7 linked regions of the Sus scrofa genome follow. The protein of the gene in region 5 purifies or fractionates together with the protein of the main gene of each other region. This does not show direct contact. Links are inferred from orthologs where the notes say so. Each region holds a gene or a part of one and is shown on either strand. Other genes may lie near its edges. The genes, in order: CCND3, CDK1, CCNE2, XPO1, CDKN1B, SPDYA and COPS5.

Region 1 (4,102 bases), on a different chromosome or scaffold from region 5:
AGCGCTCACCTCACAGGACGGGCAGAAGAATTAAACCAGACATCACACCAAAACCATTTAGGAGGGTACTTGACAGTGCTATAGAAGCCCTAGCTGTTGCTCTGGACCCTTTAGGGAAGGAAATGGCAAAGAGAAGACACTCGGAGGTCATGGGCTCAAGGACCGGACAGACTAGGTTCCTGCTGGAATTCTCAGAGTCGCTTTTGATCCTAAAGTCCAGGGGAGCAGAGGCTCTGACTTGTCAACCATTATGTCCTGTGCAGACAGTGTGGCCACAGCAAACAGGTGTTGGATGGTTGAATCCATTGCTGTGTCAGCCATCTCCCAAGGGAGCCTGGGGACTGAAAAAGCAGAAGAACCTACAGGGAAGCATGGGGGGAATCCAGTTCTCTTCACTCTCTGGTCCCAAAGAGAAAGGGCACAGTGCAAGGACTTGGTAGAGGACGCAGTCCCAGCATCCAGGGACGGGGAGTGGGTGGTGCCCCAGGACTGTGTGGACTGTTACATCACCCCTGGGGTGGACTCTCCTAGCTTCGTCCAGCTGGAAATTTCTGGGTTCTTGGGGACCAGCCCGGACACATGCCTTTCCCTAAAGTCATCCTGTTACATTCCTATCTCTTCTTCATGTCTAGACAGTGGGTTAAAGAATGCCGAGACGGCTTCTGGGTGCCCACTGTTTTCCAAGGCCCAATGCCACAGTCAGGGGCGAGTCCAGCTCTGCAGAATCAATAAGTGCCCAGCAAAGACTTCCCATCACACCTCTGCCTGGGGACTAGTCATCATTCAGAAGCCAACTCAAATGTCCTCTTCTCTCTGAAGCCTTCCCAGCCACCCCAACCTGGCACCTTATCTCTGGTGTTCTATGACCCAGGCTAGATCACTGTGGACAAATAACATCACTGCACCCTCAGCGCCCACACACCATCCCAGACACATACTAGGCGCTCAATGTGTGCAAATGAATACCGTAATGCTTTCTGAATAATAGCAACCAATTTCCTCAGTTAATCCTCTTGTTGACACATTAAAAGACACAGAAGAGGCTAAAGCCGTCACTTGTGTAACCCGCAGACACCAAAGGGACCCCCACTGAGAGGCTCCTCCTTCCAGTCCTCTGGCCTCCTCCCTCAGCCCTGGCTGGCAGGAGGACCCCCAAGGCTCGCTGCCCACACTGGGTCTGCCCCCCTACTGCCTCCCACCCCATCTCTGAATTATGAAGAAGGACGACAGACAGCCCAGTGAAGTCACTAGGCTTCCAGATCAGTTTGAAGAGGGCCTGTGTGGACACAGAGAAAGTTCAGAGCTTTGGGGGAGCTCTCTGCCTTTCAGCCTCTGCAACTCAGAGAGAAAGTGAACCGAGCTTTGAGAGACATCGAGGAGGCTGATCAGGTCGCCACCTCCGACTCCCCGCCCAGGTGTCCCGCCTCAGCTCGAAGGCCCCAGCGAAGCGGGGAGATGCTGACACCCATCTATCTTGGCTTCTCCAGCCTTCAAGCCTACCTCCTCGGCAGGTGAGCCCCCCGGAGCACTGGCCGTGGCCGCAGACACTCTCCCGCCGCCGCCTCTGGTTTCTGTCTTTGGCGAGGTGGGGGGTCGCCACCTCCAGCCGCGGGGAGGGGCGTGCACCCCTCCCCCAGACGCCCAAACAGAACCAGTCTCCACCGCCGCAGGCGCGGCGTGTTTACAAAGTCGGCGCCGCGCCGCCAATCCCGAGTTTAAAGCTGGGCAGGAAGTGGGGAAGGGGGGGCGGAGGAGACAAAGGGGCTGGGTGCTCTGCTCAACTCAGGTTTGGGGCCCGATTTCTCCGGGTGGCTCACCCCGCGCAGCGACCCCGACCGTCAGACCTGCCCCCTGTGCCCCAGGTGAGGGGACCGGGCGCCCCCCACGCTCAGGTGCGCGCGGCGGGGCAGGCGTGGCGCAGGTTTCCCCGACTTCTGCATGTGAGCGTTTTCTGCTCATCCACTCGCCACGCAAGAAATAAATAACATTAGGCGCTGCTTCTTGACCTCTTACTCTCAGTCTGCACAGTGATAAACTCTGTGTATATTAGCTTATTCCCTCCCCCGCGGCTACCCATCCCACCCTAATTTCACGAAAGAGGAAACTGAGGCAAAGTGAGGTTAGGTAATTTGCCCGAAGTCCCACAGCTGGCGAGTGCTGAGATTCAAACCCAGCCTCTGCGAGCTGCCGGGCACCCGCAAACGGAGACAGACGAGGCGCGGTGCATGAAGGACCCCCATCCAGAGGGGCTGACCCGCGAGTGAACCGCAGAAAACCACAGGCACTACGTAGACTCCACGGCCTGGGAGTGAGGCAGGCACCGGACAGCCTCCTACCGCCGACGCCTCCCGGCTCGCCCCAAAAATACCTGAGGGTTAATTGAGGGCGAGAAGGCAGCCGGATGCAGTGGCACACCTGGATTACGTGACTGCTGGCTCTCGTTCCAAGTGGGCCATTGGCTGGCTCTGGGTCCGTCAGCACAAAACAAAGCTTCCCCAAATATCCAGGCTCAGGAGACTCACTTGGAGAACTTAAGAATACAGATGCCCAAGACCCCTCCTCCAGAGAGTAAAGTCACGGGGATCCGCCGGACCTAGCCAGGTGTGGCTAACAATCAGGCAAGTTTGGAGCGTTCCAGGGATGTGCTTTTTATGAAAAACGATTTCGTTTTTAAATAGGTGTGAAACCGAGGGCTCATTTTCCTAGCCACTTCCGGGGCTCGCTGAACCCACCGTTCACAGGTCACGTGAACCGGGATAACCAGACTCACCCCCGACCCGGCTGGGCCCCACAAAGCCCAACGGGGCGCGCGGCCCCGCCCCCTCGCGGTTCCTCCCCGCCGGGTGACTACAAGTCCCATCCTGCCGTGCGCTCGCGCACATTACGCCAGAGCAAGATGGCCGACGCGGCGGCCACTGCCGGGGCCGGGGCCTCCGGAACGGTAAGGGCGGGAGGCGCGGGGCGGAAGCCCAGAGAGCCTGGGGATTCTGTAATGTCCCCCTAGCCTTGGCAACATGTTCACACCCAGAAATAGGGCCCCACCACATGCTCTGAGTGGAGGAAGGTCTTTCAGGCCGTATATGCCCCCCTCCTCCTCCTCGAGACTTGGCGGCGGCCTCGGGAGTTGGTGGACCTGTGTACTGATTGGCTCATTCTCTGTTGGGGGTTGGGAACCCGGAACACCTCCTGATTGGTCCAGTGGGGCTCTTTTCGCCTTCTTATTGGCCCGCCAAAGTTGGGAGGGATTCCTGTTTCAAAATATTTAGCTTTTTAATTTGTCGATGTTCTTATCATTTGCCCTCCTCTACTCAGCAGCATGTGTTGTTTGTTGTTTTAATTTTCCTCGTTAATGGTGTGGAGATGGGAGGGACAAAAGAGAGATTACTTTTTTTCTAGGAGATGGACCAATGAATTCAATTCTATCCTGCATGTTTCTTCAGCTATATATTCAGATAATCCAAAATAGAAAGTAGGAAACGGCCATTTTGTACTATTGTAATTGATAAGTTTTACCTAGGCAGAAAGGCTGTTTTCGAATTTAGAGCCACTTGGGTGCTCAGTTATTTGGCGAAGAGCTGTAAGTCTAAACATCAGGAGCTACCACACTGATACATAAAGATTTAGCAAAAGAACCTTTGTTTGCCATTGACAATATGTGAACTACATGACTGCATCCTCGTCCTGAGGATGAAAGTATTCTCTTTCTGGGCTGCTGATTTACAGAGATCAGGAAGTAAACAGTCCACTAACCCTGCTGATAACTACCATCTGGCCCGGAGGCGAACTCTGCAAGTGGTTGTGAGCTCCCTGTTAACAGAGGCAGGGTTTGAGAGCGCTGAGAAAGCATCTGTGGAAACACTGACAGAGATGCTGCAGAGCTGTAAGTACCAGGAAACAAGGGGCCTTCTGAGTCAACCAAACATCTGTGCTCTGTCTTGAGAGAGTATTAGGATTTAAGAAAAAGAAGAACCTAGTGGAGTTCCCCTTGTGACGCAGTGGTTAACGAATCTGACTAGGAACCATGACGTTTCGGGTTCGATCCCTGGCCTTGCTCAGTGGGTTAAGGATCCGGCGTTGCTGTGAGCTGTGGTGTAGGTCGCAG
Region 2 (3,500 bases), on a different chromosome or scaffold from region 5:
AAGTCTGAGTGTTGTAACATTAGTCTTTGAATTCCTTCGTGTCTTTAAGAAAACATCTTTTTAGATCATAGCATGGTTACAGCCATGATGTGGAACCTTAATTGGCATTTAGTAGGTACTCTAAAGATTTGTTGATTAAAGGTTTTTTTTGTTTACCACCAGCAGCTTTATAATTTGACCATAGCAAATGTTTTTTAAGTTTTAAATATTCAGTTCAGAGCATATACCTTGTATCATACAAATATTTTTGGTGCTTAATCAGTAGAATCCTTTTGTTCTATTTAACTAGAGCTCTATTCTAGTAGTTCAATGAGAAGTGATAATTCAGAGTCAGGAGGGAGACATAGAGCACTTATGATGTTTAAAACTCAGTAATTCTTGAGTGTTTACTATAAATTAATGGTTGTTATAAGTAGATTTTAGGTCTATGAGTGCTGTACACTTGAGGGAAAAGTAAGAATACTAAAAAAAATTTTTTTGTATTTAAAATTAACTGCCTATTTGGCTATATTCCACAAATGACTAATCTTCTGAGTGTAAATGGTGTGCCAGATGAGGGTGCTTCTAGCTTACCTGCTTTTGTGTTTAATGCAAGTACAATTTACATTTGAAAAATGTAGGTTTTAAGTCTAGAGAAGGTTACCTACTTTATTTTTTCTTTTCGTGGCAGCTCCTGTGACATTTAGAAGTTCCCAGGCTAAGGGTCAAATTGGAGCTGCAACTGCCAGTCTATGCCACAGCCATGACAGATCAGAGCTGCATCTGTGACCTATGTTGCAGCTTGTGGCAATGCTGGATCCTTAACGCACTGAGCAAGGCCAGGAATTGAACTCGCCATCCTCATGGATACTAGATAGGTTCTTAACCTGCTGAGCCACACAGGCACTCCTAAAGTTGGCTACTTTTAAGGATGGTTATGAAGAGCAAATAAGATTAATCCTACATAGTCTTCAATAATTTTGGTTATCCAAAGCACAGTTAATCTAAATTTAATCAAATGATATGCAATGGATTTTATGTCAAATTATGTCTTTAAAATGATACCAAGACAGGGAGTTCCCAATTGTGGTTCAATGGATTAAGAACCTGACAAGTATCCATGAGAATGCAGATTTGATTCCTGGCCTCAGTGGGTTAAGGATCTGGCTTTGCCCTGAGCTGTGGTATGTATCGCAGGTGCGGCTCTGATCTGGTATTGCTGTGACAGGTGTAGGCCAGCACCAGCAGCCTACATATGCCATATACCACATGTGTGGCCCTAAAAAGAAAAAAGAAAAAACAATCAATCCCATAAGGTGTCAAGGATAGAAACTTCTGTTGTGGCCAGAGAGGAAGCATCTTACTCATAGTTGTACCCTCTCACTCTGCAAAAAACACTGAGGTTAACTACAGCCTATTGTATCCATACTTTAGAAAGCTCATGTAGTCACAATTTTCTAATTTTCCAGCCCATTTTAGAGAAAAAGGATCATTTGCAAATTGGAAACTTCTCTCCTGTCAAATGTCCTACCCAACAAGGTAGGCATAAAATAGTGTAAAAATTTGGGGTCAGGAAATAATACTAACAGGAGTCACAGTGATACTTTCAGAAAATTTCATGTAGAATACTTCATGCATACATTGAACAGTCAACAATACTCATCCAGAAAAGAAAATATTTTATTAAATATTTAATCTATTCAAGTTCGTATTATCTACGGAAAGCCTCACATCCACTTTGAAGTTGATGCTAATATAAGGGCTTCAGATAATGAGCAACGAGGTCAATATAAGGGATCCTGGTATGAATGAATGGAGGAAACAGATGGCAATAAGGGAGACGATGGACCAATCAGCTAAAAACCAGTTCATATACAGGATCCCTAGATAATTGGTTTGTTTTTTTTTTTTTTTTAAGCTGGGGTTGGACAATTTAGAAAAGTCTTAACCCCCTAAAGTGTATGGTAATTTTGTTGAATAGCTTTTACTGTTATTCTATGACATGAGTGTAACTTCAAAGCAGTTACAGTGCTCTAATATCTAGGGAGGTCTATTCTACAGTTTTTTAAGTTTCTCCAAAGATAGCCATACTTCAGAAAAGGCCTCTAACAAATAATGACCTACTACTTGCTTGATTAGAATATTAAGGATAGTTTTGTCAAGGCAAACTGATGCTATATAAACTCTGTTCTGCTTTTCTTTTTACAATCACATCCACGGCATATGGAAGTTGCCAAATTAGGTGTAGAATCAGAGCTGCAGGTGTAGGCCTACACCACAGCCTCAGCAACACTGGATTGGAATAGCGTCTGTGACCCATGCCTCATCTTGTGGCAACACTGGATCCTTAACCCACTGAGCAAGGCCAGGGATCGAACCTGTATTCTTTTTTTTTTGTCTTTTTGCTATTTCTTGGGCTGCTCCCACGGCATATGGAGGTTCCCAGGCTAGGGGTCGAATCGGAGCTGCAGCCACTGGCCTATGCCAGAGCCACAGCAACGCGGGATCCGAGCCGCATCTGCAACCTACACCACAGCTCACGGCAACGCCGGATCGTTAACCCACTGAGCAAGGGCAGGGATCGAACCCGCAACCTCATGGTTCCTAGTCGGATTCGTTAACCACTGCGCCACGACGGGAACTCCCGAATCTGTATTCTTACGGAGACAAAGTCATAAACTGCTGAGCCACAATGGGAACTCCTGTCCTATTTTTTTTTTTTAATAAATTATATACAAAAGTCTATGTCCTGGAGGGTTTTTTTATTTTGTTTTCTTTCTTTTTTTTTTGTATTTTCTAGGGCTACGCTCGTGGCATATGGAAGTTCACAGGCTAGGGGTCTAATTGGAGCTGTGGCTGCCAGCCAGAGCCACAGCAATGCAGGATCCTAGCCGAGGCTTTGACCTACACCACAGCTCACGGCAACACCAGATCCTTAACCCACTGAGCAAGGCCAGGGATCAAACCTGCAACCTCATGGTTCCTAGTCGGATTTGTTAACCACTGAGCCACGACAGGAACTCCTTTTTGTATTTTTATTTTTTTAGGGCCGCGCCTGCAGCATATGGACGTTCCCAGGCTAGGGGTTGAATCTGAGCTACAGCTGCCGTCCTATACCACAGCCACAGCAGCAGTGGATCCAAGGGGCCCCTGAGACCTATACTACACCTCACGGCAATGCCCAATTCTTGGCTGAGGCCAGGGATCAAACTAGTGTCCTCATGGATACTAGTCTGATTTGTTTTCACCGTGCCACAGTGGGAACTCTGGGATCAATCATGTTTAAAAATCTTTAGTTTGAGGAGGGTGTCACCTAGCAGATGTTTACTTTGTCTATTTCAGGTACCTATGGAGTTGTGTATAAGGGTAGACACAAAACTACAGGTCAAGTGGTAGCCATGAAGAAAATCAGGCTAGAAAGTGAAGAGGAAGGTGTTCCTAGTACTGCCATTCGAGAAATATCTCTATTAAAAGAACTTCGCCATCCAAATATAGTCAGGTATGGTATAATATCAGAGTGT
Region 3 (4,184 bases), on a different chromosome or scaffold from region 5:
CAGCGTCTGGCACGAGTTGCCGCGGGTTCAAGAAAGTCGTTGCACCGCTCCTCCGCCGCAGGGGTCTTTGTTCCCTCCAGCGTGCCTCGCCCCATGCTCCTGCAGCAAACCTGCTTGCAGAGTATAAACGGCATGTCCTACTTGGAGATGTCCAATCTTGGGACGCACTGGAGCGGAGCGTCAGTAGAGGCAGTGAGGGAACCCAAAATTTAGATACAGGGCGGGGAAAGAGGGAAATAGGTCGGACCGCCCCCCATTACCGCTCGGAGGCGGGAGGCTCCCTCCCGCGCGGGCGGCTAGCGCGGGCTCTGCAGGGCGCGCTAGCGGCCGCTGGGCGGGGCGCGACGGGCGGGTCCGGGGCCTACACGTGGTGGAATCGTCCACCCTGACGGGCGCTGCCCCGGGAGAACTATTGTCTCCTGAGGAAGGGGCAGTCCCACTCCAGGCGCACCTCGGGAGAGGTGTATACCCTTGGAGGCCCCAGAATTGGAGGTTGGGAGGATAGAGAGGGAGGGCGCGACTTGGCGCGAGCGTTTCCTGTGCTGGGACTTCTGAGTGGGAAGCTGTCAGACAGGGACAGGGGGCGGAGTGACCCACCCACGCGGAGGATAAACGGGTCTGCGGAGCGGAGAGCAGGAAAGCAGGGTTGATGCATAGTGTAGTCGGCAGGCTGAAGCAAAGTGCAAGATAGGCATCCCTGAGCATGGCTGCCCTCGGATGCCACAGCCTTCTCCTACACACACGTGGCCTGCGGCGCGCCTGGCTGTGTTTACATTCTGCAGCCACTCCACGTTGTGCTGCCGTCCTCGCCTCCCATTGGCCAGCTCGCCAGCCAACGCTGCGCCCCTCCCTCCGGGGCGGGCCTTCTAGGTCCCCGAGTCTCTTAGGAAAGCCCGGGTTGCTGGAGGCCTTGGCGGGACAGCCAGGGTGCGCCACAGGATGGCCACTTCCTGACCACTCCATACTCGCCTGTGCTGCCTCCACCTGGCCGTACGTCGAGCCCAGGCCGCGGCCTGACACTCCCGGAATCGGAAAGTTGAGGGAGAGACGGGACGGAAAAGTACTGGGGGGAGATGCGGAAGCCGAGCGGCGGGGACCTGGGCTGCTGGGGAAGAGCCTCTGCGACTCCCTCTAGCTGCCGGGCCACACGGGCAGGTGAAATGCAGGTGACCGCGGACCTAGGGCCTAGACGAGCCGGCCCTGCGGCCTCTCGAGGTGGGCGGGCGCGAATTGACTGCAGGGAGCTGCGCGCGGGCCTGCGGGCGCGCTGGCGGGCGCGCGGGGGAGGGGAGCGCGCTGTCCGGAGGTGTCAGTCTGAGGCGCATGCGTGCGGGGCGGGCCTGGCCCGGCCTATATATTGGGTTGGCGCCGGCGCCAGCTGAGAGTCGAGCGGTAGCGGGTCTGGCGGTGAGGAGCTGCTGGTCGTAGGGCGGGATGCGGGAGGAGAGAGAGACCCCTTGGGCCGATCCATACCGTGGGCGGGAGCCTGGGAGAGGGAAAGTGGGAGGGCTGAGAACTAAGCGGCTGGGGGCGATGGGTCTCGGCATTCTGTCCCTGTCACGACCCTTGGCAAGGGGCCGGGGAAGCGGCGGGGGATGGAGGGCTGCCCCTGAGTGGGAGGCCAGGGAAAAGCCCCTCATACTAGGGGCTCCTCTGTGCCACCTCCATTTGGAGAGCTATCCTGCAGGAAAAAGGATGTGGGCCCGGGAACCCTTAACGGGGAGAAAAGTTCCCCCACCAGCCCAGTTTTCCCCTTTTCTTTCATTGAACTCGCTTTCCTTCACTCCCATCCCCCAACTGGAGTCGGGGTCCCGGTGCCCCTCTAAGCGAAGGGCAGGGTCCCGTGGGGCTGGGAAGGAGGGAAAGGAGACTGAAGTACGTGACACCAGTTCCCTCCGCCCCCTGCTTCCCCGCCGCCGCCGCTCTCCAAATTGGCGCGGAACCGGCTTCTCCACAGCGTTTCGCCTCCACAACCCCCTCTCTCCGCCGCTCGTCCAGGATGGGAGGCGGGAAGTGGGGGCGCTGCCCAAGTCCCGCTCGGGGTGTCGGGGGGAGAGGGTACAGGACGCAGAAAAGATACATCTGCCTCCCTGAGCGTTCGGGGCTCTGGCGGTGCTTTACAGATTTTTTGAAGACTGTCCCGGCTGTACATTCAGCTGAGGAAATACTGGCATGTGTCCAAAATCATGAGATAATTAATACAGTGCAGAAGACACCGTGGTAGATGGCTCAGGTCATCTCCTGAGGGACTTGGTTGTAACCTCTGAATCAGCGTCTACCTGGCACTCAGAGAGTATGGATGACAATGTATTTGACTCTGGTTTTTCCTCTTTCCCCTCCAGAGGTGTCACACACCTGAAAGAAGAGAATGTCAAGACGCAGGTAATTTGTCTTGGAGATATGTTTCAAAGTTAACTGCTGCCTTTGAAACGCATGCCTTACTAATGAAACTTCCTTTTTAAAACTGTAGTAGCCGTTTACAAGCTAAACAGCAGCCCCAGTCCAGTCAGACGGATTCCCCTCAAGAAGCCCAAATAATTCAGACCAAGAAAAGAAAAACGACCCAGGTGAGTTAAAAGGGGAGAGAGAGAGAAAGAGAGGAAATTCCTTGCTGGTGCTTTAGTTTAACAAATGGTCTTTTCTGTTTTCCAGGATGTCAAAAAAAGAAAAGAGGAGAAGGTCACTAAGAAACATCAATATGAGATTAGGGTAATGCAGACCTGGGCTGGGTTTGGGGAAAACTAAGGCAGGACGAAAAAGAATAGCATTGTGTTAATTGCTTCGCAATGGGAAGATTCCTCTGACACTTTTGATGCCTCCAGAGGTCAGCAGGAAGGTGCTTGTCTTTGGGTGGTTTTTCTGTCCCTGAATCCTCTACAGCTGCAGAGTAAGTTTGCCTTGAAGCAGCTGGTCTCTCTTTGTAAATCCCTCCCTCTTGGAGCTGCCTGGTGCACCAGGGCCCGCCTAATCTGTCCAATGTACTGCTCTTTGTTCCCTCTCTGACTATAGTGGAGGGTCCTAATAGCTGCTTCTGGGGCACAAATAGGCTGTGAGGTCACTGACAGACTGGCACTCAGCCCTTTGCTACCTTTTCTTCCTATGTGTTGTACAGAAAAAACATTTTAAAAGACAGTGGTTGTCTTTGAAACCAGCATTGATTGGCAAAAGGGTCCTCTAAGTATTTAAGTAACTGATTCCACTTTTAAGATTTTACTTACCTTCGTGCATTCTAAAGTAGTAGGACAGGCCTTATGAGCGGAGGGTGTGGGAGGTGGAGTCAGCTTTCTATGGAACAAGGTGCCCTGGTCACTATTGCTAAATATAGAGGGAGAATTTTATAATTTTGAAAGTGATTGGTATTTGACTACAGATGTGTTTTGTTATTTCTCCTCTCCCTCAGTACCTAATGTCTTGTATTTCCAGGATTGTATTTTATTGTCTAAAACATCCCACCTGTTACTCTTTGTGAAGATTGATATGAGCTATATGGCTTATTTATAAAATATGAATTCAGATTAACTAGATTGTCAGCAATGTTAGCTAACAATGGTGTTTGGGGAAAACTATAGACTGTATTAGCTTCATTTATAAAAGAGCCAAGACAAAAGCTGGTTCCTACTGCACAGATATTCTCTTTATTATTTTTTTAAATGACAGAATTGTTGGCCACCTGTATTATCTGGGGGGATCAGTCCTTGCATTATTATTGAAACACCCCACAAAGAAATAGGAACAAGTGACTTCTCCAGATTTACAAATTACAGATTTAAAAATCTTTTTATTAATCCTTCACCTTTGCCTGATTTAAGGTAAGAAAAATTTTAATAATTTAATGTCAAAGATTAAAATTTACTGATGTAATATATGGTGCTATTTTGAGCTTTTTTTGCCTTCTTTATACGGCTAGGAAAAGTTGTTTTAAAAAACTGCTTTTTTATTAGCATTTAAACATATATTATCTGAGAGTAGTGCTATTTGCGAATGACATGGGTATTTAAACATTGATTCTATAAAGTTATTTTCATTTGCTTGCTGAGGAGTATATGCCTTATCAGAAGACCTGAACTACCTTTTTTTTTTTTTTTTTGCTTTTAGGGCCACACCATAGGGCATATGGAAGTTCTGAGGCTAGGGGTCAAATCGGAGCTACAGCTGCCAGCCTACACCACAGCCACAGCGACGCC
Region 4 (3,500 bases), on a different chromosome or scaffold from region 5:
GTATGCCATTTATTTCATAATTTTGGGATTTCAATATTGTTCCTATTTATAGGGAAAATTTTTAGGAAATTCTTAAGGTATCAACCTTAAATACCAAAAGGTTTTAAAGGTGCATTATGAGATTAGAACTTAACTTAAAATTGGAAAGTAGGGGTTACTGTCATGGCTCAGTGGTTAAGGAATCCAGCTAGGAACCAGGTTTGATCCCTGGCTTCACGCAGTGGGTTAAGGATCTGGCGTTGCCGTGAGATGTGATGTGGTCACAGAGGCGGCTCAGATCTGGCATTGCGGTGGCCCTGACGTAGGCTGGTAGCTGTAGCTCCGATTAGACCCCTAGCCTGGGAATGTCCATGTGCCGAAAGTGCAGCCCTAAAATGACAAAAGACAAAAAAAAATTGGAAAATAAAAAATAGGATGAACTGAAGGGATTGAGAAGTTCATAATTTATAAAAATTTGGGCAGTAATTTCAGAAGTATTAGTGTTAATAACAAGAAAGGTATTATTTTACAACTAAGATTTGAGTTTTGAGACTGAATTAAAAGAGCCAGTTTACAGGAAAATAATTTCAGATACTTGAGGGTAGAGGAGGAAAGAAATAGGTGAGGTAGATTATGAAGTACAAACTTCTGGAGTTCACGTCGTGGTGCAGTAGAAACAGTTCGACTAGGAAGCATGAGATTGTGGGTTCGATCCCTGGCCTCGCTCACTGCGTTAAGGATTTGGTGTTGCTGTGACCTGTGGTGTAGGTCGCAGACTTGGCTCAGATCCCACGTTGCTGTGGCTCTGGCATAGGCTGGCAGCTACAGCTCTCATTGGACCCTTAGCCTGGGAACCTCTTAGGGTGCAGCTCTAAAAAGACAAAAAAAAAAAAAAACCCACAAAACTTTAAAAAAAAGTTCAAACCTCTAATTACAAAATAAATGAGTCACAGATATGAGATGTTTCAAATCACTATGCTGTGTAACAGGAGTTAACATTAGCAACAAACATACAACAAATTCAGAAAAAGAGATCAGATTTGTGGTTACCAGAGGAGAGGGATGGGATAGGGAGAATTGAATGAAGGTAGTCAAAAGATGAAACTTTCAGTTTTAATATAAATAAGAACTAAGGATGTGATATACAAAAACGATAAGTAAAACTAACATTGCTGAGGAGTTCTCTTGTGGCCCAGTGTTAGCAAACCTGATTAGTACCCATGACGATGGGGGTTCAGTCCCTGGCCCCGCTCAGTGGGTTAAGCATCTGGCATTGCCATGAGTTGTGGTGTATGTAGGTGGCAGACTCGGTTCAGCCCCTCCTTTGCTGTGGCTGTGGTGTAGGCTGGCAGCTGTAGCTCCAGTTCGACCTCTGGTCTGGAAACTACCATATGCTGCAGTGCAGCACTTTAAAAAAAAAAATAGAACTAACATTGCTGTGTATTATATAAGAAAATTGTAAGTAAAGTTATACAGTGCTGTACATTAAGCATGTCTCAGACTTGAAGATCAAGAAAAATAAGTAAGAACTAGTTTTAAAAAAAACCAAATGGGTAAAAGGACAATAATTTTTTGCTTGTTAAAAATCTTACTAGACCTGTTTTGCATAGTGGGACACTACTAACCAGTAATCTTTAAAGGAAACATTGGTTGTATTTATTGTTAAACATCTTAATGGAGAACCTATTAAAAACATGAAAGTTACGCCTTAATAAGACTTTATTGAGAGTAAGTGGTGGGTCTCTACTTTGAAGTTAACCATCCCTCATACACAGTACCTTAGAATCCTGGTCCTGCTGCATTAGAGCTAGTCACTTGATTTGAGGCCTCAGTTTCCTTTAATAATTAACAGATTTAAACTACATTGTCTATGGCCCCCTCAGACTATCATGATCTCTTGGTAGAAAATTTTAATACATTAAACTTAAAGTATAGGAGTTAGCAGTTTTCAGCAGATACTCAACCTAAATTAGAGATATTGACTTAGCTACTTAATGAGTTAACAAGTGCCTAAATTAATGTTGAAAATTTTTTGTTTTGTTTTTCCTTTTTTTAACAGGTAGCTGAAAATTTTGTTCCTCCTCTGTTGGATGCCGTTCTCATTGATTATCAGAGAAATGTCCCAGCTGCTAGAGAACCAGAAGTGCTCAGTACTATGGCTATTATTGTCAACAAGTTAGGAGGACATATAACAGCTGAAATACCTCAAATATTTGATGCTGTTTTTGAATGCACATTGAATATGATAAATAAGGTATGTGATCTGCATTTTTTAATGTACAAGAAATTATAATAGCAAGGTACATTTGAGATTGTTCAAATAGCAACTTGCATTTATTGAAAAATTGGCTTTAGTTGTATTTGTTGAAATAAACAGGCGGGTTTACATTTTTAGTTTTTATAAGTATAGTATATCCTTATAAAGAATGGGGAAATGTATTAACCAAGAGGAAGAAAAGGTACATGTAAGTCTATACCTTTATGCAGTAGGTAACAATTTTCTAATCTGTACAGTGGTCTCAAGGTCATTAAAATTGGTAGTGGGAGTTCCCGTCGTGGCGCAGTAGTTAACAAATCTGACTAGGAACCATGAGGTTGCGGGTTCGGTCCCTGCCCTTGCTCAGTGGGTTAACGATCTGGCGTTGCTGTGAGCTGTGGTGTAGGTCGCAGACTTGGCTCGGATCCTGCGTAGCTGTGGCTCTGGTGTAGGCTGGCGGCTACAGCTCTGATTCGACCCCTAGCCTGGGAACCTCCATATGCCGCGGGAGCGGCCCTAGAAATGGCAAAAAGACACACACACACACACACACACACACACAAACACACACACACAAATTGGTAGTGATGGAATTGCTATTGTGGCTGAGTTGGGTTAAGAACCCAACTAGTATCCATGAGGATGTGGGTTCTATCCCTGGCCTTGCTCAGTGGGTTAAGGATCTGGTGTTGCCGTAAGCTGTGGTATAGATCTCAGATGCCCAAATTCAACCCTAGCCTGGGAATTTCCATATGCCACAGGTTCGCCCTAAAAAGAAAAAAAAAAGTTGGTAGTGATTGTGTTAAAGTTACTAGAAAATGTGCGTGGTTCTTAGGTGGCTTTTTTTTTGGTCTTTTAAGGGCCACACTCTTGGCATATGCAAGTTCCCACCCTATGGCTCAACTACTGGCCTGTGTGCTCACCAAGGCTGGATCTGAGCCACATTTGCGACCTACACCACAGTTCACAGCAAGGCCAGATCCTTACCCACTGGGCAAGGCCAGGGATAGAACCTGCATCCTCATGGATACTGTTCAGGTTTGTTACCGCTGAGTCACAATGGGAACTCCTCTTACGTGGCTTTTGATGAGTTCTCTTTATAATTAAATGACCTTGTATTCCTTTGTTTTGGGAAGTGATTGGTATAATAAATAGTAATTTTGTCTTACTTGAGAGGTGAATTCTGTTGTCTTTGGGTTTGCTTTTTCAGCAGGCCATACATCTTATGGGATCCACTAAAAACTCCAAACATTTATACTGAATT
Region 5 (4,178 bases):
GTATTTGGCGGCGGGACTCAGGTAGAGGAAACTGCTACAAGCCGGGAAAGAACTGAAAAATATAAAAGAGGAGACGAGTTCCCACACGCAGACCAAGTCAGTGGCCTTAACAGTGCTTGGGAAGCAAGAACCTGGGCCAGGGGTGTATCCTCGCTTTTTTAAACGAAATGTATCTGAGACAGCTACTAAGTTTATTAGGGACTTGGGAGACCAATAGAGTTTTTGATCTCGAAGCCCTTTTCTTGTTTTTATTGAGGGAGAGCTTGGGTTCAGAATACATTACAAATGCAGCATCTATTCCAGTCTACTTATAGAAAGACGTCCTCCTGGGCTTCCCCCCTAAGCCCCCTGCCTCCCCTAGAACAGCACAGACTTCTAGGTTAAGGGTGAGCTAACCACTGCTCACCCCCAGCTAAGGCACCCAGGCTCAGGGGCTCCCCGCCTCCCCCGCTGAGCGAGCGGTGGGGGCCCCCCCGGGAGAGAGCCCAGCTGGGGGCCGAGCGCCCAGCGGCGAGCCCAGCTGCCCGCCCCTACCCGCTCGGCGAGCGAGGGGAAAATAAGATCGCCCTCGGCGAGGAGAGGGAGGTCGGGGCTCCGGAGCGGAGCGCAGCGCAGGGACCAGAACCCGCCACCTCTCCGGCCAGGCCCCTCCCCGGCTCCCCGGCCTTTTGGCGAGTTTGTCTTATTTTTAATTTCTCCGAGGCCAGCCAGAGCAGGTTTGCTGGCAGCCCGGCACCTCCAGCAGTCACGCGACCAGTCGAGCTCCCGGCCGCGCGCTCGGCGGCGGCGCGCTCGGGAGGCGGGGAGGCGCAGCGGCGGCTCAGGGGCCACCTTAAGGCCCAGCTCGCCAGTCTCGGCTGGGCGGCTCCCGGCGCCGCGACCAATGATCTCCTCCTCTGTTTAAATAGACTTGCGGTGTCAATCATCTTCTTCTTCGTCAGCCTCCCTTCCACCGCCATATTGGGCAACTAAAAAAAGGGGGCTCGTCTTTTCGGGGTGTTTTTCTCCCCCTCCCCTGTCCCCACTTTCTCGCCGCTCCGCGACTCCGACGCCGGCAAGGTTTGGAGAGCCGCTCGGTCGGCGGGACCCGCGGGCTCGCAGCGGCGGGGACTCGGACTGGCTCTGCCCCCTCCTCTCTCCGCTGCGCTCCTCTCCCCTCCCCTCCCCGCCCTCCAGCTCGCCCGTACACTTGATCGGCGGAGACTCGGGGCTGCCTGGCCCGGGCTGCCCCTCGCCCCCTCCCCCAGCCCCAGCGCGCTCCTGACGCTCGGGCGCTTACTCGTCGGTGTTTGTTTCTCTTGGCTCGGAGGGCAGCCGCAGGGCTTATAAGAGGGGCTCGGGCTGGGTCGAGGCGTTTTGTTTTGTTCGGTTTTGTTTTGCGAGAGCGCGAGAGAGGCGGTCGCCGAGCCCCGGGAGGAAGATGTCAAACGTGAGAGTGTCTAACGGGAGCCCGAGCCTGGAGCGGATGGACGCCAGACAGGCGGAGTACCCCAAGCCCTCGGCCTGCCGAAACCTCTTCGGCCCGGTCAATCACGAAGAGTTAACCCGGGACTTGGAGAAGCACTGCAGAGACATGGAAGAGGCCAGCCAGCGCAAGTGGAATTTTGATTTTCAGAATCACAAGCCCCTGGAGGGCAAATACGAGTGGCAGGAGGTGGAAAAGGGCAGCTTGCCCGAGTTCTACTACAGACCCCCGCGGCCACCCAAAGGCGCCTGCAAGGTGCCGGCGCAGGAGGGCCAGGGTGTCAGCGGGACCCGCCAGGCGGTGCCTTTAATTGGGTCTCAGGCCAACTCAGAGGACACACATTTGGTAGACCAAAAGACTGATGCACCGGACAGCCAGACGGGGTTAGCGGAGCAGTGCACTGGGATAAGGAAGCGACCTGCCACAGACGGTAATGACCCTTTCGAATGCATGAAACGTCTGTTTGTCTGCCTCTCTCTGTTTGTCTGCCGTGCTGTTTTCCCTGCTTGAGGATCTTAAACCTCCGCTTTCTTTTCAGCGCATTCTGACTTAGCTCTTGGGGAACACACCTTCCTCATCTTAGGTTTTAAATGCTATTTGGCTAGCTGCTGGTCTGTTTATGACTTTTAAGTCTGAAGCATGAGACTGTGCTATCTGATAATTTCTCTAACTGAAAACATCGCGGCTCCTCCCCGCTAGCCAGCTGTAGGTATGTGACAACGTTGGGATGTTTATCAACCACCTCCCTCTTCGCTTTGGAGAGAGAGAGATTTGGGGCGTAGAATACACTTTCTGTTATGTGAAAACAACCTCATTTTGTGCCCTTAAAGGCCACTGGGAATGACGGATCCAGGATGGTGGGTGGAGGTGGTGGGTTTTTTGTCCCCTCAGTATCGAGCCAACTTGTGTCAGCCATTGTTTTTTCTAATAAAGATTATTTGTGTGTGTTCTTTTTAAAATTCCCTCCTGCCTTTAGATTCCTCTCCTCAAAACAAAAGAGCCAACAGAACAGAAGAAAATGTTTCAGACGGTTCCCCGAACTCGGCTTCAGTGGAGCAGACGCCCAAGAAGCCCGGCCTCAGAAGGCGTCAAACGTAAACTGCTCGGTGGGTTGATCACTGGAAGCAAATAAGTGACACCCGATTTGGGCTGAAGGAACTCATGGGTTTTCAAACACCAAGATACCCGATCTTAGTGGTGTCTGGCAGATTAGAGCTTGTGGGGTTTTGTTTGTATTTTATGAGGTCCAAAAAAAGGAGGAATGGGAAAGACTGGGCATCAGGGTGGGGGTACTATAATTCTTCCCAGTTTCTCTGTCCTGAGATCATTTTCCTTTGAAGCTCCCAATGATTAGAGCAAGTGTCCCAGGCAAATACTTGCAACCAAGGCCCTGTGGGTAGGAAGGTCAGTTCCCTGAGAGTCCCATCAAAACGGTGTTGGGAACAATAGGTTCTTTTTCCATCTGAACAAGAGCGGGGGTCTGCCTCCATCCCACTTCAGGAGAATTCATCTCCCAGAGGACCAAGCTGACTCTAACAGATTTTGAGCCATACATGGAAAAAAATGGCAAATAAATGATCCAGTTAAAACTTTGAGGGAAAAGTTAGGTACAAATGGCTCATATCTGGTTAATCACATGGTTAGAAATGTGAATAGAGAGGAGTGTGGCTTTCTTTTATCTATCGTTTTCACAAAGTGTCACTTGCCCTGTTTTCTGATCAGTGTGGGGGATGGAGAAGGAACCTGTGTATTTAAAAAAAACCAAAATGGAAGGCTCAAAAACGCTAAGGTTCCTATGGAATTTCTGATAACACTGAAGTTACAAAGCAGAAGTTAAGTAACTCTGCCAGAGTAAGCAATCCAGGAACACGTCAGCATGTGTATGCTAATCGTGCTATAACAGGATAATTTGGATATTTGTAGGGGAAATGGATAGTAGATACCAGGGCTGCCACTGGTTAGGGCTACCCCGAACAAGGCAAGTGGACATTTTTCCACCTACTAAAATCTGATCAATGTAAAAAACTAATTTGCATAATTCAGCCCCCCAGCTTTACATGGATTGGTTTCCATAATGATCAAACTACATATATTAGTTAATAGTTTGTACACTCCTTACAGACAATGACCGTGACCTCTTTTTTTTCCCCTCCACAAACACCCTCATAGCTTAGCATTTAAAGAGATCCTAAGAGATGTTGACATTAACTTTCAAAATCCTCATTTATAAAAATTTTAAAATAAAGAACAGGGATGAAGGTAGGGTTCAAGTTTGTTGTGTTTTTACATCAGTGTCACAGGTAGGACTTTATTACATACGTCTGATATCTTTCAGAGCTTATACAACACGGCACTATCGAACCCTACGTTATAGCTGTATATGAAGTGAAAAAAATTTCTGAGTCAACCTTAACACCTGTGGCTCTTGTTGGTTGGTGACTCGTGGCCTAGCTCATCAGATGAGCCACAGCAAATCAGACCTACTGGATTTTGATCTGGCCGCATTCTGACATACAGAGAGGCATTTGTTAGTAAATATTGCCAGTTCAGCGAATACAGGAAATAGTAGTAAGGACCTCTTCTCAAGCATTCATGTGTGTATACTCTTCATACGACTGAGAAACTAGTTTTTTTTTTGGGGGGGGTGAATAGAATTTTCTTTGGTGAGCTTTTCTATTTCCAGTTATTTTTCAAATTTAGAAAATTTTGCTAC
Region 6 (3,500 bases), on a different chromosome or scaffold from region 5:
AAAAAAATTAAAAATAAAAAACTGAAGGAGTGTAAAATTGTTTTCCTTTATACACTACATCATTGTTTTGGTAAGACTACATTTCACTTTTAACTATTGGAAATTTTAGCATCCGAATTAAGCTATAAGTGTAAATACACACTAGATTTCAAAGACTTAGTTTGAAAAAAGAATGTAAAGTATCTCATTAATTTTTATATTGATTACATGTTAAAATGATATTTTGGATATACTGGGTTACACAAAATATACTCCTAAAATTAAATTCACTTATTTGTACTTTTTAAATGTGGCTTTAGAAATATAAAATTACATATGTGGCTTACATTACACTGGACAGTGCTGATCTAGCCCCACTATATCCAATCTTATTTTCCATTCCTTCCTTCAGCAGGGAAGTTTCTGAGGGTCAGGAAGGAGAATCTGTACCTAACTCCTTGAACATCAAGGGAGGCATGGCTGCCTGGGTCACTGTGAGTTATGGATTCAGAGGTTCTCATTAGGGTCTTAGAGTAGTTTCCTGCTTTGGCTACTCGTAATTCCATCTCCTATTACTATACAAATACCTTGAGCATAAAAATAATACTAACTAGTAATTTTGTGAACTGATTACCACCAAACATGGTAGTGATTATGCTTATTGTTAAATATCAATGAATTAACTTTGTTTCCATTTTTATTAGACTGTAACAGGTTATACTCATTTACACTGGTAATCAGCCGCTTAAATAGCCTGTCATACATTCGACTATAGGAATTAAAGGAATCAATTTATGAGAATTGTTCAGTGGGCATATACCATGCATTTCTTTGCAAGAATTATTTTTAAATTTTGAATAAATATCAATAAATGCTTATTGAACTAGTGAATTTTATAACATATCAAGGAATTTACCAGTTAGAAAATATGTTTTTGTGTGTATGAGATTGCTTTTTAATCTAATACTTGATAATAATTTAGTTCTGGAAACAGTTTGCCTTATTCTATTAAAAAAAATGACATAATAATCATATGATAAAATTATGTCAATTCAAGCATAATAAAAAATTATCAGGAAAAAAGAGTACCACAAATAGACTATATACTCAGCATAGTTTCTTTAACTAACTTTAAAATTTGATTTTGTCTGCTCTAGTAGTCAAAGCAAAATGATATGCAGGATCTTATTGTTTGGGAAGAAGAGGTATATCAGTTACCCAAAGGAAGTATAGCTTTTCTTAACACTAATTTCTAAAAGCAGTTTCTCATGTGAGTCATTGTCATCAATAACATTTTAGTAGCAAGTTCAGTAACATTTCCTATGACTGCATCTGATAGTGTCATCCAGTTAGTTGTTTTTATATAGAAATGAACAAAAGTGTGATAAATAACTGTTTTATATTTACAGGAATCGTGGGAAACCAAAATGAGACATAATCAGCTGTGTTGCGAGACACCACCTACTGTCACTGTACATGTAAAATCAGGGTCAAATAGATCACATCAGCCCAAAAAACCCATTAATCTGAAGCGTCCTATTTTTAAAGATAGTTGGCCAGCATCTGAAAAAAATGCACATAATAGCAACAAGTCTAAACGCCCCAAAGGACCCTGTCTAGTTATACAGCGTCAGGAAATGACTGCTTTCTTTAAATTATTTGGTAGGTTTAAAATATTGTTGCAATGGTTAATTGTAATAATGGAACTTTGAAATGAGAGAATATGAAGATCTATTTAATCATTTTAATAATGATCAAAGAAAATGTCATTTTTTTTTTTTAAGGGCCACACCTGTGGCACATGGACGATCCCAGGCGAGGGGTTGGATCAGAGCTGCAGCTGCTATCCATAGCCATAATACATCTCGCAGCAACACCAGATTCTTAATCCACTGAGCAAGGCCAGGATCGAACCTTCATCTTCATGGATTCTAGTCGGGTTCTTAACCTGCTGAGCCACAATGGAAATTCTATATGCTGTTATTTTCCATGTATAGATTTTCTATGTCCAACCAAATTTGTTTTTGTTTTACTTAGTTCTTTTTTTTTTTTTTTTTTTGCTTTTTAGGGCCACACCTCAGCATATGGAGGTTCCCAGGCTAGGAGTCAAATCTGGCCTATGCCACAGCCACAACAATGCAGGATCTGAGCTGCATCTGGGACCTACACCACAGCTCACGACAACACTGGATCCTTAACCTGCTGAGCAAGGCCAGAGATCAAACTGCAACTTCATGGTTTCTAGTCGGATTCATTTCTGCTGCACCACAATGAGAAGTCCGTTTTTTTTGTTTTTTTTTTTTTAATGCTGAATTTTTGTTTTGATTACTTTTGGAGCAGAAATTCAGATTCATCTAGCTTCTAGACTATTTATTTATTTATTTATTTTTCTTTTCTTTCTTTCTTTATTTATTTTGTCTTTTTGCCTTTTCTAGGCCTGCTTCCCGCAGCATATGGAGGTTTCCAGGCTAGGGGTCGAATCAGAGCTGTAGATGCCGACCTGTGCCAGAGCCACAGCAATGCAGGATCCGAGCCTTGTCTGTGACCTACACCACAGCTTACGGCAACACCAGATCCTTAACCCACTGAGCAAGGCCAGGGATCGAACCCGCAACCTCATGGTTCCTAGTCAGATTCGTTAACCACTGTGCCACGACGGGAACTCCCATAGACTATTTAAATTCAAGTGTCAATGTACATTTCTGGGCAGTTCAAGTTCATAGTTTGAGTTTTGTTTGACCTCAAGTAAACTATTTCAGAAAGTCTCAGGGGAGCCAACTGACCCTGGTGTCACTGGGCCTGAGGGGTTTCCTGGGACTTTCAGTGCTAAAATTGAGCAAACTTGGAAAGTTAGTCAACCTAGAGAAGTTCCAGTATTATATTTGGGGAATATTATTAAAAATTAACTATGCTTTATCACCGTGGTCATATAATGAAGTTGAATGTGGATTTGTTCAGATCATGAAACTGCTACTTTGCTGATAAGCTTCTTAAAAATAGACAAAAAGAAACTCCTTTATAGTATTTCTACTAGCCGAGAAAGACAAGGATTTTTTTTTTTTTGAGTTAAGGCAGTAAGCAAAATTATTATCCATAAACTTTTTATTATTCATAATTGAACATGAGAAATTAGACGAAATAACCTGGTTCTACCATTTTAGATGGTTTAAGAAATAGAAATGGGATTAATAAGGCAGAGATTAATTATTCTCAGAAAATCAGTACTTATCCTTAGAATTTCCATGTATTTGACCATTGGCAATATTAAGAAGTTATGCTTTGTTATTTAACTCAAAATGAAGGGGGAGGAATTCCTATTGTGGCTCAGCAGGTTAAGAACATGACTAGTGTCCATGAGGATGTGGGTTCCATCCCTGGCCTTACTCAGTGGGTTAAGGATCCTTGTAACCACAAGCTGCAGTGTAGGTCACAGATGTGGCCTGGATCTAGTATTGGCTGTGGCAGTGGTGTAGGCCAGCAGCTGCAGCTCCAATTCAATGTCTAGCCCCGGGAACTTCCAA
Region 7 (3,500 bases), on a different chromosome or scaffold from region 5:
CTTTTTTAAAATATTACAGTTAAATGTGCATATGTAATTATTAAATTTTTTATTTTTAAAATTTATGAAAGTCTATATCATATTTCAGTTTAACAAATGTGGGTATGCATGTGAGTGTGTGTAGCAATACTCTAAAATACAGCTCTGGTTATAGCGATGTGGAGGGATTATAGGTATTTCCTTTTTTCTGTATATTCCTCTACATTTTCCAAATTTTCTATATAACTATTAACTTTATTTATTTATTTATTTATTGTCTTTTTTTTGCCATTTCTTGGGCTGCCCCCGCAGCATATGGAGGTTCCCAGGCTAGGGGTCAAATTGGAGCTGTAGCCACCGGCCTACGCCAGAGCCACAGCAACGCGGGATCCAAGCCACATCTGCAACCTACACCACAGCTCACAGCAATGCCAGATCCTTAACCCACTGAGCAAGGCCAGGGATCGAATCTGCAACCTCATGGTTCCTAGTCAGATTCGTTAACCACCGAGCCACAACGGGAACTCCAATATAACTATTAACTTTATAATCAGAAAAGCTACAACAAATGTAATTTTTAAAATGCTGATATAAGTACTAATTCTGGAAGTTCAACAAGAAAAAATATAACAAAATTAGCTAACAACCATTAAGCCTTTACCAGGTGCCATGGACAGTCCTAAGAGCTTTATATAATATCACTACAATTTAATCTTCACAATAGCTTTAGGTAGAAATTATCACCTTCCTTCCCCATTTTCACAGGAAGGCTTGAAGGCACAGAAAAGCAAAGGCGCTCTCACAAGGCCTTCCAGTCTGCAGCAGGGCCAGAACCTGGACTCAGACCTGTGTATTTGGAAGCTTCTTATAATAACACATATTAGATTTAAGCAGTCAAAAAGAAAAATTCCAAACTTAGTATTAAAATTATGAAAGGGGAAGAACTCTACATTTGAACTGCATGAGCTTTGGGATCACTTTTTGCAAGTATAATTTGACCTCTTACTTCACTGACTATCTACTTAGATTTCTTTTTTTTTTTTTTTTTTTTTTTTTTTTTTTTGTCCTTTTTGCCATTTCTTGGGCCACTCCCGGCATATGGAGATTTCCAGGCTAGGGGTCTAATCGGAGCTGTAGCCGCCAGCCTACGCCAGAGCCACAGCAATGCCGGATCTGAGCTGCGTCTGCAACCTACACCACAGCTCAGGGCAACACCAGATCCTTAACCCACTGAGCAAGGCCAGGGATCAAACCCGCAACCTCATGGTTCCTAGTCGGATTCGTTAACCACTGAGCCACAATGGGAATTCCTCTACTTAGATTTCATAGTGGAATTATCTGTAAATGAAAGATTCTATATATAACATGGTTGTTTGGGGGTTTTTTTGTCTTTTGTCCTTTTTAGGGCCGCACCCTCGGCATATGGAGGTTCCCAGGCTAGGGTTCTAATTGGAGCTATAGCCACTGGCCACAGCCACAACCCACAGCCACAGCAACTCCAGATCTGAGCCGCATCTGTGACCTACACCACAGCTCACAGCAACGCTGGATCCTTAACCCACTGAGCAAGGCCAGGGATAGAACCCGCAATCTCATGGTTCCTAGTAGGATTCATTTCCACTGCGCCACAACAGGAACTCCAAAAGATCCTATATAGAAGAAAATTTTGTTTTTTTTAATGATAGACTTGTTCTATATATAGACACAATATCATTTTCCCCACAGAATGCAGACTATACCACCGGTCAGGTCTTTGATTTGTCTGAGAAATTAGAACAATCAGAAGCCCAGCTGGGACGAGGGAGTTTTATGTTGGGTTTAGAAACGCATGACAGAAAGTCAGAAGACAAACTTGCCAAAGCTACACGAGACAGGTAAGAGCAAATCTATTCCTCACTCTTTTCTTTCAATATTCAAATTCCTTATGGCTCAACTTACTTATAACTTAGAATGGTACTTGAATATTAACTTCTTTGGGCCTTTAAGAGTTGTCAAAAGCAGGTTTCAGCTGAAATTCTTAAGACGGTAACTAAGAACATCAGAGTCTAAAAGGTCTAGGTAGTGTATGAAAAATTCCCAGTTACCTTTTCTAAGTTCAGCTAGAAACTGTAAGAACGAAAACTAGTCCATTGCTGGACCTTTAAAAAACAAAAACTTGCAAAAGGATGCCCTAACCTGTTCTAACCTTATCATCTAAAGGATTAAATTAGAATTTCTTAAATTTAAAGTTTAACCCCATAAATATCTGATAAATGATTGTATCTCTCTTAATTTTATGTAATAATTCTTTATACAGTATTTTAGTATCCCAAATTTTACTACCAAGAATTTGTTATGAACTTGGGATAGGTTCTCTAATAACATAGGAAATAATTACATGGTGGTCCTTCAGATGCATACAGGATTGGAAAGACTACCAAAAAGCATTTACTTTCACAAAATTTTGAATTGTAATGTGATAGTTAGGAATAGAGAGGGAGGGAAAACTGTGTTGACATCTATATAAACCAATACCTTGGTATCCATTTTTTAAAAACCTGTACCAGTTGGTAAGAAAGAAAAGAGAGAAGGGAGGGCAAAGTGTATTAGAAGTAGATGCCATCTTGGGTTACAATGATCTCATTCCTTTCTTCTCCATGGGTTTTTTAAAGGTATAGAACTAGTAGCCTGGATAAAAATTACATTTTTCTTTGACATGAGATCTTACTTTTGATACTTGATCTTAGTATGTCATTGTGCTCATGTATCTTTATATGTCTCTGATTTACAATTTCATCTGCATTTAAATCTAAATTTCTTATGAAGCAAAAATTTCACTGTGGGAATGTCTCAATTATATAAGAAAAGTAGTAAGAACAAAATTTAAAATAATTTTTAAAAACGATTTTTAAAAAATAGGGAATTTTCAGAGCTCACTTGTGGCTCACTGCGTTAACTATCTGGCATTGTCAGTGCAGCAGCTCAGGTCACTACTGTGGTGCAGGTTCAATCCCTGGCCCAGGAACTTCCACATATCATGGGTGTGGCCAAAAAAAAAAAAATTAGAGAATTTTGCTTTTAGGAGTAACTTTATAAGAATTGCATCTCTTCTGAATATTGGTAGTGTTTTATCATTTTCTTAATCAATTCTAAAATACAAGTCCTTCACTCACTGACCTAACTTTGGCTTTGAATTGTTCAAAGGATGTTTGTGATTATTTCAGGGAGAAAAAGCATAAGATTCTTTAAAATCTTTTTTTTTTTTTTTTTTATGTCTTTTTTGCCATTTCTTGGGCCGCTCCCAAGGCATATGGAGGTTCCCAGACCAGGGGTCGAATTGGAGCTGCAGCCACTGGCCCACACTGGAGCCACAGCAACGCGGGATCCGAGCCATGTCTGCAACCTACACCACAGCGTTGCCAGATCCCCAACCCACTGAGTAAGGCCAGGGATCAAACCCACAACCTCATGGTTCCTGGTTGGACCCATTAACTACTGAGCCATGATGGAAACTCCTAAAATCATTTTTAAAAATTATTCTA

The links.
Region 1: the proteins of CDKN1B (region 5) and CCND3 purify together in Homo sapiens (affinity purification with western blotting; 9 studies listed by BioGRID and IntAct, counting the BioPlex papers as one, with this or other methods). This does not show direct contact. The link is inferred for Sus scrofa from reciprocal best matches to the Homo sapiens genes CDKN1B and CCND3.
Region 2: the proteins of CDKN1B (region 5) and CDK1 purify together in Homo sapiens (affinity purification with mass spectrometry; 8 studies listed by BioGRID and IntAct, counting the BioPlex papers as one, with this or other methods). This does not show direct contact. The link is inferred for Sus scrofa from reciprocal best matches to the Homo sapiens genes CDKN1B and CDK1.
Region 3: the proteins of CDKN1B (region 5) and CCNE2 purify together in Homo sapiens (co-immunoprecipitation; 5 studies listed by BioGRID and IntAct, with this or other methods). This does not show direct contact. The link is inferred for Sus scrofa from reciprocal best matches to the Homo sapiens genes CDKN1B and CCNE2.
Region 4: the proteins of CDKN1B (region 5) and XPO1 purify together in Homo sapiens (affinity purification with western blotting; 4 studies listed by BioGRID). This does not show direct contact. The link is inferred for Sus scrofa from reciprocal best matches to the Homo sapiens genes CDKN1B and XPO1.
Region 6: the proteins of CDKN1B (region 5) and SPDYA purify together in Homo sapiens (affinity purification with western blotting; 3 studies listed by BioGRID). This does not show direct contact. The link is inferred for Sus scrofa from reciprocal best matches to the Homo sapiens genes CDKN1B and SPDYA.
Region 7: the proteins of CDKN1B (region 5) and COPS5 purify together in Homo sapiens (affinity purification with western blotting; 11 studies listed by BioGRID and IntAct, with this or other methods). This does not show direct contact. The link is inferred for Sus scrofa from reciprocal best matches to the Homo sapiens genes CDKN1B and COPS5.

Annotation. Positions count from the first base shown.
Region 1 is NC_010449.5:37,179,663-37,183,764, forward strand, and holds the start of CCND3 (G1/S-specific cyclin-D3), read right to left. Parts: upstream 2,801-4,102; 5' UTR 2,416-2,800; exon of another isoform or gene 1-2,415. Other genes in the region: TAF8 (transcription initiation factor TFIID subunit 8), read left to right, coding at 2,897-2,941, 3,724-3,880. UniProt on the Homo sapiens protein: Regulatory component of the cyclin D3-CDK4 (DC) complex that phosphorylates and inhibits members of the retinoblastoma (RB) protein family including RB1 and regulates the cell-cycle during G(1)/S transition.
Region 2 is NC_010456.5:64,236,989-64,240,488, forward strand, and holds part of CDK1 (cyclin-dependent kinase 1), read left to right. Parts: intron 1-3,321; coding exon 3,322-3,478; intron 3,479-3,500. UniProt on the Homo sapiens protein: Plays a key role in the control of the eukaryotic cell cycle by modulating the centrosome cycle as well as mitotic onset; promotes G2-M transition via association with multiple interphase cyclins.
Region 3 is NC_010446.5:41,803,500-41,807,683, forward strand, and holds the start of CCNE2 (G1/S-specific cyclin-E2), read left to right. Parts: upstream 1-1,384; 5' UTR 1,385-1,407; intron 1,408-2,342; 5' UTR 2,343-2,368; coding exon 2,369-2,382; intron 2,383-2,470; coding exon 2,471-2,567; intron 2,568-2,652; coding exon 2,653-2,709; intron 2,710-3,657; coding exon 3,658-3,809; intron 3,810-4,184. UniProt on the Homo sapiens protein: Essential for the control of the cell cycle at the late G1 and early S phase.
Region 4 is NC_010445.4:80,293,016-80,296,515, forward strand, and holds part of XPO1 (exportin-1), read left to right. Parts: intron 1-2,038; coding exon 2,039-2,233; intron 2,234-3,500. UniProt on the Homo sapiens protein: Mediates the nuclear export of cellular proteins (cargos) bearing a leucine-rich nuclear export signal (NES) and of RNAs.
Region 5 is NC_010447.5:59,733,032-59,737,209, reverse strand, and holds the start of CDKN1B (cyclin-dependent kinase inhibitor 1B), read left to right. Parts: upstream 1-1,378; 5' UTR 1,379-1,420; coding exon 1,421-1,895; intron 1,896-2,441; coding exon 2,442-2,563; 3' UTR 2,564-2,571; intron 2,572-4,178. UniProt on the Homo sapiens protein: Important regulator of cell cycle progression. Inhibits the kinase activity of CDK2 bound to cyclin A, but has little inhibitory activity on CDK2 bound to SPDYA. Involved in G1 arrest. Potent inhibitor of cyclin E- and cyclin A-CDK2 complexes.
Region 6 is NC_010445.4:110,426,751-110,430,250, reverse strand, and holds part of SPDYA (speedy protein A), read left to right. Parts: intron 1-1,388; 5' UTR 1,389-1,406; coding exon 1,407-1,641; intron 1,642-3,500. UniProt on the Homo sapiens protein: Regulates the G1/S phase transition of the cell cycle by binding and activating CDK1 and CDK2.
Region 7 is NC_010446.5:67,754,028-67,757,527, forward strand, and holds part of COPS5 (COP9 signalosome complex subunit 5), read left to right. Parts: intron 1-1,704; coding exon 1,705-1,853; intron 1,854-3,500. UniProt on the Homo sapiens protein: Probable protease subunit of the COP9 signalosome complex (CSN), a complex involved in various cellular and developmental processes.